2 linked regions of the Lytechinus pictus genome follow. The protein of the gene in region 1 purifies or fractionates together with the protein of each later gene. This does not show direct contact. Links are inferred from orthologs where the notes say so. Each region holds a gene or a part of one and is shown on either strand. Other genes may lie near its edges.

Region 1 (10,877 bases):
AATGGATTCGCATGTTGGCGAACGTTTATATGCGACTATATAGTCGTGCGGTGTTTCGGCGATCTGTATAGCACAGTACACGCTGAATGGACGTGGGAAAGATAAGCATGATCATTGTTCGAGAAGCGTTTCACGAAGTGTCACATCACTCAATCTTCTCGGATGAATTTGCTCTCGGCCAATCAGATGCAATGATTTCGGTAGCTTATCACAAAAGTCAGAGAAAATCACCGACGAGAGACTCTGTGCAGCCCTGCAATTTGCAGTTATTACCAGGCTTTCTTTAGTTTGGGTAATCATGATTAAAGTCTAAATGGCTACTTGAGTTGATGAATGAAATAAATCATGATAAATAAGTAATAATAATACAGCAATATGATATGGATCGGTTCTTCCCAGCAAAAATATGATTTTGCAACAAATTCAAATGAACTTTTATGAATATAAATTGTTACTTTCACACACAATATTTTAAGGTCTGATTTTATATCATCATATTGATATTCGTAATTGCAATAATCAATCATTTGACATTAGTTCTGCAAATGATGAATGTTTAAACAAATGCCTTTTTTTTTCTAAAAATTTTCATACAGGCCTACAACTAAATATTGTTTTATGATTTGATAAATGAAAGCAAATTGCCAAAGGGATACATTAGTGTATATTTTCGATGCACCACGTACAGTCTCTGACGAAATTCGTCCATTGTCGGATAATTTTCGGATCATCGGTTTTCCGGTTTAGATATCCGTCCAGTGTAGTATACTCGTGTTCATACAGATTATATTTTTAGATTTTATATTCTGTGGTGAAAATTGTGTGTTGTTGGCAATGCATGCAAATCTGTGTTTTAGTTCTTTTTGCCATGATGGCACTTTTTGGAGCAAGATAAACCTGATGATCGTATCAATATTTTCTTATTTGGTATCTCAATATCTAGTATGTCTCCATTCGAATGGTTCAAGGTTTCACAAGAATACTTTATTATCATACTACGACTGCTTTCTTGTAGGTCTAATTTTCATGCTATTGTCTTACTAGATTCACCACTGTGATCATCATATCATGTACGATCGTGATGTTTCCCGAGAAAAAATCATATCATTAGGAAAGTTCATTACTTTTCCATAATAGTTTGTTTAATTTACATGAAATCGAGGGTGAATGCGAATTCGACATACAAGACCATGTTCGAAGAAAATGCCAAAATTTTGAAATCCGAAGCATATTTTCTTGTTTCATTATAAAGCGATAATCTTTTAAGCTAAATCATCGTTCATATTTCTTTTATTTATACACAGAGATACTTGTAGATAGCATATGGGGTTTGCAGGGTATATAACTTTATAAAAAAACTGTGGAAAATCACTTTCCTTTTTTGATCATTCATCTACATGTATTTATCAACATTGTTTCCTATTTTCCAACTCTTTGCTCATTTCCTACGCAGATAAAGTTCATCGATCCCAATGCATGGACCGCGGAACCTGGGGGCTCGGAAAGGGGAGCCTCCCGTCCCTCATCCTTTTTTTTTCTCAATAAACGTGTAGAAAAAAACTTTAAAATGAACATCTGGTTTAGTTTTTGTATGATAAGCCAAAATTTCCCAAACCGTTCACTCTTAAAACAGATCAGTCAAATTGACTAGACCAGTAGTCAGCTGGGAGCAACTGATATGGCAATCACTGATAGTCACATATCTGACATATATTCTAGTCAGAAATAACTCTATTTTAGTAAAATAGTCAAATATGACTAGAATAACAGTTGCTCCCAGCTGACCCTATTAACCAGTCATTTTTTACTGATTTGTTTTTAGAGTGTTCCGCGGCCCCTGGATCGTACATTTTTTTAAATTCATACTCTAGATGGCATTTTTTTATATTCTAATAATGGGCTGTTATCGAACATAAAACATCGCATAACGACTGTGCTGTTATAGGTGAGAAATGGAATAGGGGAATAATAAGATACTGTTATAATTGGGTAATGTCTATTCTTTTCACCTAAACAAACAGTTTTGATTTGAATTTCTTTCCGAAGCATTGAACCCTTCATGAAATATGATTTTTCTTATTTGCATATTGTTTAAATTTTCATGGATGTCTGGCCTATGCTTGTCCATTTTTTGTTCCTGCTGTTTTGATTACGCAGCAAAGAAGTCTCCTCTATTATTACGCGAGTTGCCTTTAATCTATAGAATGAAATATGATATATAATGTAAATATTTGATCTAGTATCATCTCAATAATTGATTTCATCTCAAAGAGTCGATATTTTGATTGATTTTATCTGTTTTTATGCTTAATGTGGCCATTGTTCTGAGTGTGCGTAAAATGTTAATAAACTTTAATGCACTTTACTTTACGGAGTATACCCGCTCTTTTATTTGAGTCTATTTACCGGCAAAGCTATTTTAAAGAATCTATGTTGATGAGTATGGGCGTTTCGATCAGAGGTTGTGTGTGCGTACGTGGAGGGGGGGGGGTATTGGATGGGGAATAATACCTGGTGAGTGTTTCATAAAGCTGTTCGTAAGTTAAGAGCGACTTTAAGAGCGACTGGTGAACCTTTCTTACGCGCTAAATAATCACTAATGAACATAATGGTGAACCGTCACTTACCACAAGAAAGGATCACCAGTCGTTCTTAAAGTCGCTCTTAACTTACGAACAGCTTTATGAAACGGCCTCCTGAAGTGTTAGCATCTCTGAAATGAAAGGGATATTATAAACTCAAAAAAGTTTGGAAATCTGAGTTTGGCCATTAATTTCTCCCAACTCCCAATTTTACACAATGCATATTTGATATCATTCAAAATATCATTTAATTCTCTTTAAAATTATACCCTACATGATATGATTATGGTTCACATGGAGGTGCAGTGCCTTGAAATGAGGGGCAGGGTCAAAATTCAAAAGTTGCAAAATGACACAATATTGAAAGTCACTGTTCTTTTTTTCGTGGTGATGAGTGGGTTTCTGATCGGTTTCTTTTATTTTCATGCACCTTAACATTAAAGGACAAGTCCATCCCAATAAAAATTTGGTTTGAATAAAAGGAGAAAAATCCAACAAACGCAACACTGAAAATTTCATCAAAATCGGTTGTAAAATAAGAAAGTTATGACATTTCAAAGTTTTGCTGAATTTCACAAAACAGTTATATGCACATCCTGGTCGGTATGCAAATGAGCAGACAGATGACGTCACCCACTCACTATTTCTTTTGTATTTTATTATATGAAATATGAAAAATTCGAATTTTCTCCTCATTGTCATGTGGAACAAACTTTTGTTCCTCCCTGAACATGTGCAATTACCATTATTTTAACAGTTTGTGGTTGAATCAAGTTGGTCCCAATTGTCAAATCTGTAAAAATTGAAATATTGTATAATTCAAACAATAAAAAACAAAAGAAATAGTGAGTGAGTGACATCATCGACTCTCTCATTTGCATATCAATGAGTTGTGCATATAACTGTTTTGTGAAAAATAAGCAAAATTTAAAAATGTCATAACTTTCTTATTTTACATCCGATTTTGATGAAATTTTCAGTGTTATGTTCGTTTGATTTTTCTCTATCCATTCAAATCAACAAATTTTTGGGGTGGACTTGACCTTTAACATGGAATCAAACACACCTCTGCACAAGCAAACACATAACTAACAAACAAACATGCATGTGTATTTCAAACCATGTTATCTCACAGATCTCCATGTTAATGTTGCTGTTAAGGTGCATGAAAACAAAAGAAACCGCTGAGAAACTCACTCATCACCAAGAAAAAAAAAGAACAGTGACTTTCAATATTGTGTCACTTTGCAACTTTTGAATTGTGACCTTGTCCCACATTTCAAGGCACTGCACCTCCATGTGGACCATAATCATATCATGTAGGGTATCAATTTAAAGAGAATTAAATGATTCATTGGTATCAATTACACATTGATATTCACTAAAAACGAGGAAGGATTGTCGATCAAAGTCAGATTAAAACTTTTTTTGAGGGGTTTATAATTCATGACCGAGAACTTTTCCAAACTCCTTTGCTTTCTGTTTTATGAGATTTTTTTTCCTTCTCTTTTATTACTTTTTTTAACACAAAGTATATTGATTTTATAAAAGTGTTAAATTGATCAAAAACCTCCACATTCTTCGATGCATAGGCCTATCCTCCCCGGTGAAGTCCATACATACTCAAGGGCAGTGTCGGGATAGGGGGAGAGTATATGATAAGGTGCCGCGACCCCCTCCCTCTCAACAATGAAATAACAGGAATATGCCCTATACTCCCGTTTCCCTTCCATTCTTTTGTCGTATCCCCATCCCCTTTTAAAATAATTTTTATTATATTTTTCTCAAACTCATACTGCGTCAATGGCACAGTGAGCCCGATATTTTGTATGGGCACAGTTGGGACAAAAGAAAATTGTATTTGATAAAAAAATGAGTGGTAGCGGAGCAAGCGAGAAAAATTAAAGAATGGAAATATGTGATAGATTATGACTAATATATATGTCACTATTTTCTTTCTTGTATCCTTCTTTTCTTTCCTCATTCTTGTTTGTTTATGTTTGGAGGAGATAAATCCCCAAATTAAGTAGGCCTATGTCGTAAACTTTTGAAAGCCTTATTACCTAAAAAAAATTAATAGTGATTGACTTGAAGAAAAAGTCCATCCCAGCAACAACAAAAAAGGAAAAACTCCAATAAAAAAAAAATCATCAAAATCAGATGCAAAATAAGAAAAATATGACATTTTAAAGTTTCGCTTAATTTCACAAAACGGTTATATGCACATTCTGGTCGGTATGTAAATGAGGGGACTGATGACATTTTCACTCACTATTTCGTTTGTATTATCATTATGAAATACAATATATTTTAACTTTCCCCTCATTATAATGTAATACAAAGTTTCATTCCTCCCTGAATATGTAAATTACCGTTGTTTTAACATTTTCTGCAGTCCATTTATCACTGTCAAATCTGAAAAACTGGAATATTGAATAATTAAAACAGTAAACGAAATAGTGAGTGAGGGAGGGACATCATCGGTTCTCTCATTTGCATATCACATATTTGTGCATATAACTGTTTTGTGAAAAACGAGCAAAACGTTAACTATCAGATTTCATTTTACATTCGATTTTAATGAAATTTTCAGAGTTATATGCTTGTTTGAATTGATTCAAATAAAAAAAAAATTGAAATATTTTTTTAGGGGAACTTGACCTTTGAGAGTTAAGACTGATTTTCTTGAAACGATTGGCCAATAGAAATCTATATATTTTACTATTTTATGTCCATCACAATAGATCGGATCGAATGAAATAATTTGAAACCCCCTTTATAGCAGTGCAAATAACGAGCTGTCACTGCAATGAGCACGACACTGACATCAATTTTGATTGCCTAAAAGGTATAGGCCTAATCAATTAAAGATATATGCGAATTATACAAAATTATGTCGATGCAAAGAAATCATGAGGTGTATATGACATATCATATTCAATATATGGAGAGAGAAAAATAATAAAGGCCAACAGCTGCATGAGCAGATCGATCTAGTGCCAGTTCAATTATAACGAAACAATTTTATTAAACATCACCTAAATGATAAACTATACTCTACATGACTAATGTTATACATGTAAAAAAGTTAGAACAAAAAGCTAAAACTTAGTTCTACTCCCTCGTAATTCCACTGCATCTTCGGATTGACCCCCCCCCCCAAAAAAAAAAAATTATCGATGGAAATGAACTGCTATTGCACATCAGCAGGTGCGGCAATTTTTGTGAGGTTTTTGGTCCATTTAGGGGGAGAAAATCCACCCTAGTGTTTTGTGTGCAAATTTTGAAGCCCCCCCCCCCCCACCCGGGGGATCGCAGTCCACCATGCAGATCACCCCTTTTTGCCTTTTTTAATTTTGGCAATGTTTTGCAAGCCCGCCCTCATCGCTCGTGCTTATCTTAAAAATGGCAGCAGCTGATAGTGAGAAAGTGGAAGGAACGATGACCAGTCCGGCTGAAGAAAAACCCTCAAAGGAATCATTAAGTCAGGTGGTGGACAGTGAAAGTAAAGATGACGTAGATCTCGATCAGTTATTGGACAGTAAGAGCATTCTCGATTCTCACATGACCATAAAACCCAACGTTGTTGTAAGGGGCGTTGAAAATTTCGGTCCCACATGCTTGTTTTTGCGTATGCACCAAGTCTAACTAATTTGTCAAAGTTTTTGTTAATGACAATGTTATTCTGCCGAGTTTGCGTGATGTGGTGGAAACATTTGAAGTCTTCCTCCAATTAAAGGTTGGAAATTGATGGGTGCAAGTACTGTTTGCACTTGTAATAAAAAAATATAGGCCTAGGCGGTAGAAAATATAGGCCTAGGCGGTAGGCCCTATTTATAAAATATTTTTTTGTAGGCCTAGGTCTATTTCACCCAAGGCCAAGCAAGGGTTCATTACATGCCGCCGCGCACAGAAAAATCAAGCCATAGAAGTCGTGTGTTGGGGACCCAAGAAGTGAGATCCCAGCACGCGCGACCCACTAGTTAGAAATCCACTGCCAAACGCGGTTCGTGGTGCGAGCGAGGTTAGTATAGGGTAACGCGCCCGGTATTCGGTCACCTCCCAGAATTCGGTCAGACAGCTGTTTCAACAGCTGTTGAAAAAAAAAAAATAATGCATGAGCCAGAAAACTTTGGCATATCATGCAAGAAACCAGCACTTCCAGCCCACCTCAAAAAAAATGTCGATTAAGACAAGCACACAGCCAAAAACTAACCTTAAAATTGACCGCGTCGGGGGGGTTTTGTTTACTTCCGGGTTTCTTAGCTATTGAGTTAAGCGGACGCAACCTCATGTAAACTCTTGTGACGTCATGACTTTGTGTGTAGGTGTAGTGAATTTGGTACGAGTGTGAAGGGGAAGACTTGTGTGTTCACCCAGTCGCAGCGAATATGCAACTAGCAGTGAAACTGATGAGTAGCGAGGGCTTATACATTGCCCCTATAGTGAGAGGGCGCTCGACCAGAATTCGGTCGCGCAACATTGAGTGTTTTGCCGGTGTGTTTGTGAGGAGGGAAGAGCGTGCAGATACGTTGCTCCTCGCAAGTGAAACACTTATCTTAATCCATTTTTTGTTCTGTTAGGCCTAAATAAGTTTAGAATATATCTAAAATTATTTTTCATGAATAAAAATCTTAAATCAAAGATGTTTATTGCCTATGAAAATGCAATTTGAGCAGGTGAATGACGATGGTGACGAAGTTGGTAAATTTGACCAAGGCTCATTTTGATTGCCTTTGCGTGATTGAGTTGAAGTCTACATCTTTCTCAAATGATAGGGCAAATGATATGCCTACGTTAGGCCTAAATAAGTTAAGAATATACCTACAATTATTTTTATTAATAAAAATCTTAGAACAAAGATGTTTATTGCCTGTGAAAATGCAATATGAGCGGGTGAATGACGATGGTGACGAAGTTGGCGAATTTGACCAGGGCTCATTTTGATATTGCCTTTAACGTGATTGAGATTAAGTCTTAGTGATTTCCTTTTTGGCCTCAATAGTCAAACTCAACCTCAATAGTTAAACCGTGTTATTTTTTTAATGTTATCATAGTTATTTTCAATATTATTATTAATTTGAATAATACATCCGGTTCCAGGGATGATGGACCCCCAAGAAAAAAAAAATTAAAAAGGCTCTTCCACGAGTGTTATTTTAAAAGACGTCATTGCTAGATCAAAGGCTGGAAAATTGCCCCTCAATTTTGCCCGTCCCTCACATATCAGAGGTCTGCGGCTAATTTTTTTGGTCGTTTTAATTTAAAACAAGGGGCCTTTTAATATTGTCATCATTGCTAATAACATCAATCGAAAGTGGATGACAATGTTGACGAATTCGGTTAGAATTATCAGTTACTGTTGTGAATTCAATTGGAATTCAGTTGCCCGAGTTAGGCCTAAAGTGATTTATAGAATTAATAAAATGTTCCTTTCGTCTAATATTAATTTTAAATTCTTTGAGTTCATACTTTCAATGACTTTTCAAACAGATATCAAAATCTTTACTAACAGTATATCAAACAGCAGGTTGACAACTCGGTATTGGATGGTAGACAAGATGTCAAAAAGGAGGGCGTCTTAGGTATATGGGATACCTAAATCAACGCATAGGGATAAAGTAGGTCTACATCTTTTTATTTACTTAACCATACTCTGAACTTAAACTATTATATCAATCGGTAATTTCCATCATGCTGTGTAATTCAAATGTTCTAAAATTTTTCCTTACCAGTTTCTCCACAGATCGATGGGAAGACACCAGTAAAATCGCGGCATGGTTCCAGCCCTTACCTGTCCGTTGCTATGAAAGCAAATTTGGCGGCATTGGAACAGCGGATGGCAAAATTCGGGGTGAAGAGACTAGAGTTTCAGCAGATGATTCAAAATTAATTGTCGGTCTCGTCGTTATTTTGTCTTTCTTTCCCATTTAATTTTTCTCGTTCATTTTTGGGGGATTTAAAGGACCATTGATGTAGTAAAGGAAATGACAATAGCGAGGGCAGTAGTTTTGTGTTTTAATATGGAACCAGTAAATTATGATATTGAAGGAAGTTGCAATAAAACAATGAGCATAATTATGAAAAGGATAGTGTAAGAATAATAGATTAAGGCCATTATGATGAAATTAATTTATGTACATTATCTTCATTCAAATTATTTCATCAAGAAGGCGTACCACACTTGTATTCAAGAAAGATTTAGCATTGAGTGAATTAAAGATAGTCTTCAATGACCTCTTATATCACAATGTTCCCTAAAACTTTGTTTGATTTATCAAAGGAATGATATGAAATCCAAATTTCCTCTTCGCTTTCCCTATATCGGAGGCCGACGTAGATCTTATAAGTATCATTGAGCCATTAATTTTATTGTAAAAAATAAACTAATATAAAATCCAAGAAATTACAAAGAAAATATATATTCTACGCAGTTGTTACGCCCTGGTACTAATTATTTTGCAGTACAATAATTATTTTTACATTCTATTGTTTGTATTCATATCATTCTTAATTTTATATAAATTTAATGTATTGTACGTAGATGGCCAAACAGTAAATTTTGTTACAGAGTATTTGATTTATTGATTTCTTTCCATTTATGAAAGACAAGAGTATGAAACTTATTTGCCATTTGTATTAATTCTACATTCACCTTGCCATTCATTTCATAGACTGAAAAAAATAAACAATATCTTGACTGCAAAGACGTGAAGTTTCAATAACATGTTGCCCATTTGACTCTTTGTCTGTAATGAAATTGACTGAAACGATGATGCTGCGCCATTTTCTGGTTGATTCCGTTTTGGATTGTTGTATTAAAAATTCTGAGTGATTGAAAATTTATATAATCTTAACGAGAGGGGATTGATATGGTCAGCAGAGCAGAGGATTAATATTCATTGGGGACCTCTATTGTTGCATCCACCCCCTAAAAAATACAAAAGATAATCCTCTTCTCCGATGCCCATAGTTTGAATGAGCTAGTGTTGATCTACTATTTGACATAGGTTGTGTGGCTGATTATCTTTTGGTGATTGACTGGAGCGACTAAAAACAAAAACCAAGTTATTTGATAGATTTTCATGAATGACTATCAGGACTATCGGGATGGCAGATTAAAAATATGATTTTAGAAAATTATGAACATTAAGTAAAATCTCCAAAATAATAGATTCTACTCAGTAGCGGATCCAGGGATGAGCCCCCTTAATTTGACACTTTTATCATGTAAAAAGAAACGGGAATTACGGGTACACGGACCTTGCTCCCCGCTTGGATTCCCCACTGTACTGAATTACCAAATAAGCAAAATAATAATAATAATAATAAACAGACCAAAATAATTAAAGACTCCCTCAGACAAAAACAGAACCCCAAACAAGCGAGCATGCATCTGAAAATGAAAACGGCAAACGGGTATGAAACCATGCAAGTTGGAATGTTACCAAAACAAAACACAAAAACAACATAAACATAACATCGAAAAGCAAAACAAGTGATTGAAAGTAGGAAATTGAAATTCATAAACAAAATATAAGAACACAAAAACCCCAAACAAACGAGCATGCATCCGGGGCATGCATAGGAATATGAGAACGGCAAACAGGTAAGAAACCATGCAAGTTGGGATTATATAAATACCAAAACAAAACAGAAAAAAATAACATGAAATGTAACGTCGCAAAGCAAAACAAGTGATTGAAAGTAGGAAATTATAAATCATAAACAGAGTAAAATAATACAAAAGGAGTTTTGCCTGTAAAAGAGGGAAGAAAAAATACAAAAGTTAATTATTAAACATGTATTTTCATAGAATGAATAATGAAACATATATATTCAGTTTACGCCATCACATGGCGAAATTTCAAACAATACCGTTCAGTCTCAATTCTTCCACCTGTTCTGTTATTTCTAGTGGACTAATTAGGTTTTATTGTTGCTATTATTAAAAAGTAAACACTAGAAATGCATAATTAAGATGTGGAGATCACATAAAAGGAATAAAAAACAGTAAGCATAAGAGAAATTCGAATAGTTAACATCAGATAAATCGCGCGTTTTCGCGCGACCGAATTCTGGGCGGCGTGACCGAATACTGGGCGGAAAACACCACCTCGGTCTATCGGCAATATTTTGTTCAACAATATTCAATATTCTAAATGAGTTCAATAATCTGAAAGAGGACAATTTTTTCTTTCTCCTGGTCGGTGGATTTACAAATAAATGAGGTAGGTATTTATTTTACCGGCGATTTCCCCTTAAGTGACCGAATACCGGGCGCGTTACCCTACT
Region 2 (11,682 bases), on another chromosome or scaffold:
ACTCGTTTCCCCCCTTTTTTCCCCCAATAGCTATACCCAAACGTCATCAGTGACTGGTCAACCAGTCCCAATTGTTGGAAATGACTGGGGGGGGGGGGGGGGCACTTCCATTGACGAGTTGATACCAGGCGCGACCTAAGAAACGTGTAAAAAGGATATCTTTTTCAAGATTGGGCACGTTACGTAGGTAAGGGTGTCAAAAACACTTAAATACTGAAAAAAAGGGTATATATTTCGCTAGGAAAACTACATGTTTACGGTTGTATTTGCGAGGGTATAAAAAAAGACTGAAATGCTGTTTATAAGGGATGTACTTTTTGCCCCAACACTACGTCTGTTTTGAGCGAGGTTTGGGAGGTGGTACTAAACCCAAAGTAAAGGTAAAGCCGATGCCTGTGATCACGTCCATGACACAACAATTTATCGCTGTACTTGTTTAGGGCCAGGGTCAATTCAGTTCAGGGAATACTCATCAAGGGTACCGTTTAAGTTTTGTTTCCAAATTCCAACACTTGTTAAGGGTAGGGTTTTACACACCAAAACTTCTTAAGGGGTGCATTTTCAGAATATGGAAAATACTCTTTTTTTTTCAATTCAATTTATTTTCATTCTTCAACATAATACAATATATACAAGATAAATTAATTCAATTTAAATAAAAGCATGAACAAAATCTAACATTGAATAAATGATATACATATTCAATAAGTGATTCAAATATAAATTAACATGCATGTCAAATTTATATCAATATAATTAAATCAATATAATTATATATCATGAGAAGAATGGAGGGGTCCACTGAAAAGCAAAGCTTGTAAAATGTGGACCCCTCAAAAAGTTAGGATAGAATGAATATTGAAATATACAGTACGTAAAGGAATACATGAAGATAACGAAAAGGGCAAAAAAAAATTCTTATATACAGGATTGTGAAATTCAGAGACAAAAGACAATAACACGACACAACACAACACAGGTACATGAGGGTGGACAGTAATACGATGACCACTGCCTAGAATATAAGAAAAATAGAGATAGGGAGAGGGATGCAAGGCTAATCTGCTGCATATATATATTATGGCTATACATACATGCACATTATGTACATGACCATATATACGCATACACATACATACACATATATATATATATACATATACACGCATTCACACATATACATACACACACATACATACATACGGACATACACATATACACGCATGTACACATATACAATATAAAAAGTAGAATATAATAATGTATAGACAAGCTATAACTTTTGTATTTTAAATCTTATGTCTAACTGGAAAAAAATAAGGCTTCATGTTCTGTATAAACATAGATAATAGACTAGCAATAAAAGATACAAAATTTTAGTTTAGAATAATAAATATATTAATATAATTCATTAAGATTTTAGGAGCATAAATTTTAGTTTGTTTTTAAAGGACAGTAAAGAACGGGCGTCTTTAATCTCATCGTCAAGGGAATTCCAAAATCTTGGACCTGTATATAACTACCGTAAGTATTTTGTGCTAGAAGCGTTCTAAGAAGGGGCAAGTGAAATTCATTTGACTGCCTGGTGGGATAGTTATGGAGGGATTGGTTTCGGGGAAACATGGAATCAAATATGCGTGGCAACGAATTATTTTTATATTTATACATGAATTGACCTAATTGAAACAAATATAAATTTTTTATTTTCATGATTTTATGTTTCAGAAACAATGGATCTGTATGAGAACGAACTGGTGCATTCCATATAATTCGGAGTGTTTTCTTTTGTAAAATTAATATTTTGTCCAATAAAGAATTGTGGGTATTACCCCATGCTAATATTCCATAATTAAGGTAAGGTACAATCAAAGATGAGTATAATATGAGTAATGTGACGGAAAGAAAATAGTGTTTTAACTTATTAATTACACCAATATTACGAGATAATATTTTACTTATTTAGGGTGCTTTTTGAAACTCCATGGTTGCGCCTGGTATCCACTTGTCAATGGAAGTGCTCCCCCCGCCCCCCGGGACTATTTTCTTTCACCCAAATCAGGGGCATTTATTTTCATCAAAAATCGATGTCACAAACAAAACTCAGATATACATTTTGCAAAATAACTGGCAAAATATACATTTCTTTCTTTCCCCTTTTCCTTAGCCCCAATAATGTCTAATCTAATTTTCAATTCCTTCACAAAGGTAAACCATAATATCTTTTCTTTTTCTTATGTACGTTTCTTAAAATTATCAATTTATAATACTCTAAAGGCCAAAGTACTATAGTAATAATATCATCTGTGATTTTTTCCAAGTTTGGAAACTTAGTTTTCTCGCTAATTTATGATTGTATCTTCAAAATTACCAATAAAAAACCAAATCAGAATTTTTTTCAGAAGTCTTCTCTTTATCGCAGTTATGGTGATATCGGACTTTGCAATTGTTTCAGGAAGTTGTGAGAGAGATCCCAGAGCACATGAGAGCAAATCGCTCGCCAATCTTGTGTATTTTTTTCGCTTTTCAGCAGCCATAAAATAGTAAATATCAAGAAAATTGATGCGGCAATCAAAAAGGGAAGCGGGCGCGGACGAAAAACATCACTTTTTTATATTTTTTAAGCCAATTTTTGAAAATAGTGAATAGAAAAATATTTCATACTGCAGCCAAAAAAGATGCGCGCGTGAGGACGATCAACTACTTTCTTTTTTTACTTGGCCTAAAATAACAACTGGACTAGCGCCAGCAATAACATCAACATATCCAAATTTAATTCTTAATTTCATGGAAGACTAACATGGCCTTATCCTGAAATAAGTCACCTCTCTTCTCGTGTGTGTCAGTGTGTGTGCGCTCGTTATATACAAAGTCGATGGGAGATGAAAGAAGTCACCGCCGCTGAAAAAATGGACAGTGAATTGAGTGGTGACTTAAACCAGGATAATGCCACTCGCTCACTGCAACAATCCTGCCTGTAGGGAATCTACAGGTAGGACTATGGTATGCCAATGCTGTAGAGAGCACACACTTTAAAAAATCATTAAAATATCACTTTTGTGACCAAAATTACTAATTTCCATAAAGTTGCCATTCATTTTTCATTTGTAACTTGGGAATAATTTTTGTATTCACCAGAGCGTTCAAAAACTTGAATTTTGGGCATATTTTTGTGTACGCCCTCTATTGGTGGAAAGTAATATGGCAAGAAAATTTTCATTTTTCAATCTCTATTTTTAATTAAGAAAAAAATAATTAAAAAAATCAAATTTACTTATTAGCCAAGTTATAAGATGAAAAGCTGTAATGGAAACTGATAGTGTAAAAAAATCAAGCATTTGTCCCAAAGATAAAGAGAAAATAGCCAAACATTGCCAACCTTATTTTGCCACACATGGAGATATCGAGATGTAACTGAGTCTCTGAGAACAAGGTTATAACTTATATCATATTCATAACCTCGTTCATTGAATAAGTGGATAATGCCGACTAAGTGCGACTAACAGTTAGCCTGTTAAAAGTTAGACTTCCCTCTCAAAATTGACAAAAACACAAAACTGACAGACGCGTGTCGTCTGCATAATCACTATTGTCATTCATTCATGTGAGGAGTCTGAGGACAGGAGCCGAATTCATTCAGCCGATAGGCGATACTAAAATAATGTTTAGGCCTAACTATTTTCTGTCATCACATCATCACATCACATCACTATCAGGTACGGAAATACGTCCTCCATTTTCAACGCACCAAAATGCTTGACTCGCCGATTTTGTTATTTCTTCCGATTCTTTCGGAAAGAGTTCCATATATGCACCCCCCACTAAAATTGAAAATAAAAACATTTCCATTCTTTCTGCTAAAGTTTCTACGACCAAGATAAACAACATTGGCATATTGCCCCCCCCCCCCCCCCCGACATGACTGATAACTTCTCCTGTACAGAAGCCAATAACAGCGATTTAACTCACGTGCAATACAGATACAAAATAACGGAAATGTGATTTCAGCTATTGATTCGCGAGCATAGCTATTCGCACGCGCCGCCAATGATCATGTCAGGCCGTGACTCGAGTCGAGACGCAGCTCGTTTTCTTTTCGAGTTTTAGACTAACCCAAATATCAATTTTGTAAAAAGACTGGTTTAAACTGACGAACCTTGTAAGCGATTTTGTAATGATAGGCTTCTCCTTTAAAAATCTCAAATAAGCTCGAAAGAGCATTTGAAGTGATCCCGGTCCCTCTTTCTTGGTTTCCATCTCGGCGAGATAATTTCGGCGAGCATTAATATTTTAGTCTCTTTTTTCTTAGAGCGCGGCTCTAATTGGGTTATTCCCATGCATTGGCCATAATTAAGAAAAGAACGTCAGCTATGATTGGTCGATTTTATTGGAAAAAGTCAAAGATTTATGGGGGAGTTGAGTATCAGCTGTCTGCTAGAAGGGGAGATAATAAAGTTAGATCTATAATAACATTAATTTTTACAGTAACAGAGAGCAATAATGCAGAAAAATAATTATTTTTTTTTTGAAGTAGTAATGGAACCAGAGAGATATATATCCCGGTATAGAGATTCCCTTTTGCACTTTGTATATATTCCCCTTTGTAAAATGAACTTTACCAATAAGGGAGTATTGACTGTCAACATGAAGCCGGAAATTTTCGATTTTCGGTGGTAATTGCTAATTTTAATCATTTTTCGATTATTTCGCATCTCCGGTCTTGGACTTGATACCCTTCAAATTCAATATGGACGTTGATATATTCAATTGCTACATGAAAGCAAGTTTTTTAGGTAAGTTTACGCCAAAAATAATTTCACCCCCTTTCAAGTTTTCACCCCGCACGTCCGTGGACGTCATCCGCAGCCCTCGCTCAGCTCCGGCCCAGCCGCATCGTCCCGTTGGCCTTGCCCTTGCCTTGGCTGGTCGAAGTCCACTCAAGCCAAGGGTTCAGACATTAGATGCCGCTGTGCATGGGAAAATCAAGGCACGACGCATGCAACTCTCTATATGACTAGTAAATAGTATAAGCTGATCCTTCTTCTCGATACTCGATAGACAGCTGCTACGTACTATAGCGCATGGCTGGCAGCCGTCTGTTTCGAGGAGTTTTTTAACATTTTTATTTTTTTCAATTTCTCCTTGTGCACATTCACATTGTCATAGCCTGGACTCTGGAGGCTTCTGGGGAGTAAAAGTCATCTATAACATGTACGTAGGCTTACTCCCATGAAGCCTGGCACGGCAAGCCATAGCCATTGGCCCACACGAAGGAGGGTATTTGCCTTGGACTCTTGGAGACAACAATGTTGCTCCAAAATACTTGATTTGTTTAACTTGCTTATCACACAATTTTGTAAATGGAAAAGAAGTTCATTTCCCCCCATTAGGCACTCATAACGTTTTTTTTACAAGAATAATTATACAAATATTATATTAAGAAAAATCATGTAAGAAGATGAGCAGATACCCACAGTCACAGATGATCTTGTCGCCATATTTCCGTCTTTGTTCGTAGCCTAGTTACAAGACGCGTATACGAGAGGGCGACGATATCATGAGCAGTGCCAATTTTAAAAAAATAAAAAATTCAATCGGCCGATGAAAAGCGTGAATTGTAAAATACTTGAATTAGCCAATAAATACACGGGTTTCTTTCGTAGCTATATTTTGATTGAGCCAAAAAGAAACTGATTATTTATGATGATAGTTTGAGCTTTCTTCCTCTGTTTTCTTTCTATCTTTCTATCCTTTATTTCTTTGTTTCTTCCCTCTAATCTTTCAATTTTTTACTGTCTTTCTTTTATAATTTTCCCTATTTTCTTTGCCTTTCGTTCTTTTATTCTTTCTGTCCTTTAAAGAAATATTTTTCTCTATTTCTTTTTCGCTTTCTTTTTTTTATTTTTATTTCTTTCTTTAATTCTTGAGTCCATCCATCCTATATTTTTCTCTTCTTTCTTTCTTTCTTTCCTTCATTCATTATTACTTTCTTTGTTTCCTTCTTCCTTCCATCCATCCTTTCTTTACCCTTTCTTATTTTTCATTTCTTCCTTTCAGCCTTTTCTCTTTTTCTTTTAGTTTCATTCCTTCCTTTCTTCTTTCCGTCTTTTGTTCTTTCTTTTTTCCCTTCGTTCCATCTATCCTTTTACATTTTCTTTCTTTCTTTCTTTCTTTGTCTTTTGGTCTTCCTTTTATCTATTCTTTTACCTTTTCTTTCTTTTTTTATATTGCTTGCTTGCTTCCTTCCTTCATTTCTTTCCTTCATTCTTGTTTCCTTCTATCTATCATTTTACCTTTTCTTTATTTCTTCCTTTCTTCCTTCTTTCAATCCTTTGTTCCTTCCTTTCTTTCTTTCTTTTTCTTTTTTCTTTTTTCCTTCTTTCCATCTCTCCTTTTTTCATTGCTTCTTTCCTTCTTTCTTTCTTTCATTACTTTCTGTCTTTGTTCTTTCTTTCTTTATTGCTTGCTTCATTTCTTTCCTTTCTTTCTTTCTTTCTTTCTTTCATTCCTTTCTTTCTTTCTTATTTTTTTTTCTTTCCTTCCTTCCTTTCCTTCTTTCTTTCTTTAGTTCTTTCTTTTTTCCTTCCTTCACAGCTATCATTTCTTTACCTTTTCTTTTTTCTTCCTTCCTTTCTTTTATTCTTTGTTTCTTTCTGTCTTGCTTTCTTTTTTTTACTTTCATTCCTTCATTTTTTTTTTGGGGGGGGGGTAACAAGAAAGGACAGCAAAATAAACTCGCGCCTTTTTTTAATGTTTTCTTAATTTTTTGGGATCAGTAGATTTTAGGTTCGGACCAGTAAAAAATGGAAAAACTGGGTATCTTCTGGTCCGACATGAATAGGTTGGACCAGTAGAAAAAAAAGGGTTAGTGTGGAGCCCTGTAATATTGATACTATCGGTTAAAAGAGCAGATGAGACGTAGCCTTAGTCACAAAATAGCATAGATGTACATCTGTATATTTTTCAAAAAGGAAAATTATGACAACATTGCAAATATGATGAATTGGGAAATACATCTTTTCAATATAAAAGCACCTAAATTATGCATCATACATGTACATGCATAGACCATGAAGACTGGAGCATACAATTGCTGAGAAAATGAAATTATGAATTATCCATGTTATGACTAAAAAATCGCATGTGGACGTTGAGATGGGTACCTCCAATTTTAATAGTTTACGAAAGTAAACCATAACGATTTTCTTTGTAAAATGATGATAATTATACCGTCCTTTATGATTCCAAACATCATAGAAATATAGTTTAACCAAAACATATGATTTGACAAATTCTATGCATAAATTATAGATAGAATTTATCCAAATGTTAATAGTGGTCTAAAAACGACAAATACGAGTCCAGTTATGGATGGCCTGACGTGGTAGAATATTTATCGATTAAATTATTTTACTATTTCAAAATGAATGGTTTTGTGGCGTTTTACCAACAGTTTTTAGTTTCTTTGTATTACAATTATCATTGAATGCATTATCTGACTTGTTTTGTGATGTAATTTTAACCTCTATGATTGATTACGTAAGATTATAATTGTTCATGTCATAGTCTACCCATGTGATGCCACTACGTCATTAAGAAAGAAGTTATGACAGGTTCGGAGATGTCATAAATATTTAGTCAGGTTGTTGTACCCGATCTCGGCAAAGAGGGCTTCGTGAATAGTCAAGAAGTTAGACTTATGACGGTGTTGAGAAACGGGCCCCTGTTCCTCATATTTTCTTGCTCTTGACGTCACTGCCTGTCCCACGGCAACTACAATAATTTTTGGCCTAAAAAGTGCACGCTATTTATATTCATAGACACGACAAGGGAAAAGACTAGACATCTTAACTATTTTACACGCAAAGCATTGCGCGAAGTCCGTGAAGTGTCCAATCTTTTCATTGCATAGACTTTGGTAGATGTATTATTGACAAACTAACAAAGCTTGTACTGCTGGTTTTTTGTCAACGTAGATCTAGATTCTAGACTCTACATAGATCTAGATTTTTTCTATTTAGATTCTATTTTTAAATTAGTCATCGTTTTAAATTATATTTGCAAAAAAGTGTAATCATCGACAATAATGATCTTAAATTACATGTATGTTTTAGAAGGTATTTCATTCATTGGTGCCCATATTTTATCAAGTAATCATAAGAATTGTGCATTCATAGAATTTAGACACACCGAGGAGCTGAATAAAAATTCAAGGCTGTGAAATTTATTAGCGCCACCATCGGGCTTCCTTTTATTTCCGTAGGAGAGACATGCGAAGTCACTTTCCAGGCCGAGGTAAGCAAATTTGCTCTTTTTTGTATGATTTTTATTTTTTAAATAAAAAAAATAAATACGATTGTATGGCTACTCACTGGAAAGAGCCCCGGTGAGTAGCGAGAAGGAGTTTCAGCAAATATTACATGTACTTCTGTAATGAAGCGATGTTTACGACTAGAATAGAAACCCACGGGCCAAACACGGTTCAGTGTACGAGGTTAGTACTTAGTAGGCCTATATAGCATACTAACTTGTACTAGTGTGAGTGGTCGAAATCTAGGCCTAGACCAAAAAAGGTTCAGTCTGTAAATCATGTACATTGGTTGTTCTGCTGAGTACTGTAATGTACGTTATGCGTTATCATTGCCAATAATAATCTTAAAATGTTTTTGAAGGTATTTCATTCATTTGTGCCCATATTTAATCAAGTAGAATTGCGCATTCAAAGAATTTAGTTTTATAGACACAGTTATAAAATTACCGAGGAGCTGAATCAAGGTTGTGAATTTTATTAGCGCCACCATAGGATAGTCTGCTGTGCAAACCCTTCACTCGAGTAAAGGGTCTGAATTGCAGCCTACTCATACCTTGTGTACTGGGCGTTGTGGCGTGCGCCTGTAATACAAGCTATGTGGGGAAGTTACAAATTGATGCAGAGGTTCGAGCCCTGGTCACGTCTTTCAGATGGTGACGTTAAAGGTTGGTCCCAGACGTAAATAATCATATCTGATTGATACACGTCTGACAAAAGTCAAATACACACACACACACTGAAGGCCCTGAAACAGCAAGTTTTGCTAGTCTTTGCGTGGAGACACACTTGTTGATCAAAGTTTCAATCAGGGTCTGTGCCTGCAGACTACTCACCATGTGGTTATCTCTTCAAATTACCTGGGCATGTTGTTTTGAAACATTATCCAGTCAATCAGAATTCTGGATTTCATGCTACTCTGAAATTTCGTCTTGTATCTTATTTTTGCTGGATCCCGACCCATTTCCAAGGTGCAACATTTTAAGAGTGACATTGTAAGAAAACTACAGAGAATGAGCTTTCCGATGATATAGATATTTATTGTTGCTCAAAATAAAAGGTTTTGCACAATGTGAGGGGGGAAAACAGAGGAAGAAAATTCCACTTTGAGACATCTTTTCAGGCCTAAAATTCATCAAAATATTTCATTCAAAATAAATTACCATTTTAAAAGAGTAACATTTACTCTTAACAATGATGCAAATGCAATAATATTTGATTTCACCTGAGGATAAAGTGTTTAAATCTTTTGAGAAAGAAATGTTCACAATTCATGAGATTTTGCAGGGAGGTGAATTCAGCTACGAGAGGTTTAGAGGAAACCTTGCTTATTTGCCCTGCAGAGCCCTATTCGCTCATCAGCATAGGGCTCTGCAGTCTGGCTGAATTTAAAAAATGAATGAATCAATTGTAGGCCTATTTTGTATTGATTTATAAATTTATGTATTGTTAATATGAATTACTTATTTGACTGGTATCTTGCAGGGAATAATTTTGCTGTACAGATTTGAATCGCATTTATGGTTATGAGAGAAAAGCTCTCAACTATGTACAGTCCTATGTAAAAATATGCTAGATACAAAAGACTTTATGCATAGCAGTCTTTAAAAATGTGGAGCAAATTGCGATGCGATACCAGGAAAATTATTCCCTGCCTTGATGTATTATTCATCTGTGTTTGTCTGTCTTTTTTTTGCGAAAAAATATGACTTTAAAAGAACCTTAATACCGATAGGACTGTGATTCTGTGCAGCTTGATCGGTTCATTCGTGCACTGGTAGTCTCTGCGCCACGCAATTTTGAAAAGTGCAAGGCTCTTTTTGAAATTTTTCCTGGTGACACATGTAAAACCTCTGTATGTCAAAAATGTTTTAAACCTCTGAGGTAATTTTATATTGTGTTCCTTACATTTATAATTATGTATATTACATGTATGTCTTGAAATATTTTTGACTTTCTTATAATATTTATTGTATTACATACATTATGTTTATTGTATTACATACATTTCCATAGACTAAACAGAAATCAATAAATCAAATCAAACTTTTTGTAACAATCTTGTACAAAAGTGACTTTTTAAATCTTTCTGAACATCTTTCTTTATATTTGCTTTCCCCTTGAAATGTCATGAGTTCTTATTTTATTGTTTTATGTTATTTCATCTCCCATACGGTACATGTATGTGTCAATTCCATACCTTTTTTCTATCTTGTTTGTCTTTATAACTTTCTTGATCACTATTGCCCATATCTCCTTATTTTTTTCAAAACAGGAAATACAATATATTGTACAATGCATGCATGAGAGAAAAGATGATGCCACTATTTTTTTTAATTGTATTAACAATTTTCAAGTATTGCAGATATGACAAAAGCATATTCATCATCAAATGACAATTTCAGATGTTAATTAGAATGAGTGGATTACAGTATGTCATTGGTTGGGTTCCCTTATTGTACCGAACAGGGCGTGCATACTTTTTTGTGGCATTATAAAGCAAAAATTTAGAATCCAATTTTTTTCAATTTGCAGTTAAGCGTGTATTTTTATACATATCAATTATTTTAGAGGTGGATTTCCACTTAAAAGGGGTACTCCAGGGTGAAAACAAAACTTTTAATTATGACATTTTCACTGTTTTTTTTCTAAAATCTGTTCAAATCACATAATTCCCAGCCTGGTGTACCCCTTTTCAAACATAATCAGGCTTTTTCAGCTATGCTATAATATCAATCTGTGGAGGTGGGCAGGCTCCACCCCCCTTGGATCTCAGCTGCTGATCACATGAGTGCCAGTATCTGCACAGTGGTTGTGGGCGATGTACATGTAATCTACAGGGCTGTATGGTTTCGAGCAATTTCGGGTTTGACATACACTTTAATACAAAATGTTGCATAAAAATGCTGTAATTTCAGAACCATCGGTCACAAATTTTGTCTCAAAACTTTAGTGAGACTCGAAAGAAAAGTGATGGAACGTCGCAGCACCAGCTTTTTTGCATTACAGATTTATCACAAAAAATTTTGATGGGGTGGATTCCACCCCCCCCCCCCCCTTGGTATTTTTAGGGTTTAAGCATGAGATGACATCACCAAAACAAAACTTTGAAAATTTATAGCTTATTTTTATGAAATTTCCCCAAAACTTTATTAATGATTGGCATTATAATATCACTTTCCCTTTTTTTTTCTTCCATGTTTTAAAACCAACTTGACTTCATGCTAAACATTCACTTTAAATATGTCTTTACACTGTCAAATAACACAACAACTACATACTTGTATCTTGGACAGGGTTCCGTTGCTTCCAGATAGTTATGTCCTCCACTTAGACTTTCTAGGGAGCATCGATTGGACAGTAGCCAAGTTGATAGA

Evidence for each region. The genes of interacting proteins can lie anywhere in the genome.
Region 2: the proteins of peroxisomal biogenesis factor 19-like (region 1) and peroxisomal membrane protein 2-like purify together in Homo sapiens (affinity purification with mass spectrometry; 3 studies listed by BioGRID and IntAct, counting the BioPlex papers as one, with this or other methods). This does not show direct contact. The link is inferred for Lytechinus pictus from reciprocal best matches to the Homo sapiens genes PEX19 and PXMP2.

What each region holds. Positions count from the first base shown.
Region 1 is NC_087252.1:8,081,100-8,091,976, forward strand, and holds the start of peroxisomal biogenesis factor 19-like, read left to right. Parts: upstream 1-5,963; 5' UTR 5,964-5,987; coding exon 5,988-6,123; intron 6,124-10,877. UniProt on the Homo sapiens protein: Necessary for early peroxisomal biogenesis. Acts both as a cytosolic chaperone and as an import receptor for peroxisomal membrane proteins (PMPs).
Region 2 is NC_087246.1:22,770,799-22,782,480, forward strand, and holds the start of peroxisomal membrane protein 2-like, read right to left. Parts: upstream 4,317-11,682; 5' UTR 4,255-4,316; coding exon 4,154-4,254; intron 1-4,153. UniProt on the Homo sapiens protein: Seems to be involved in pore-forming activity and may contribute to the unspecific permeability of the peroxisomal membrane.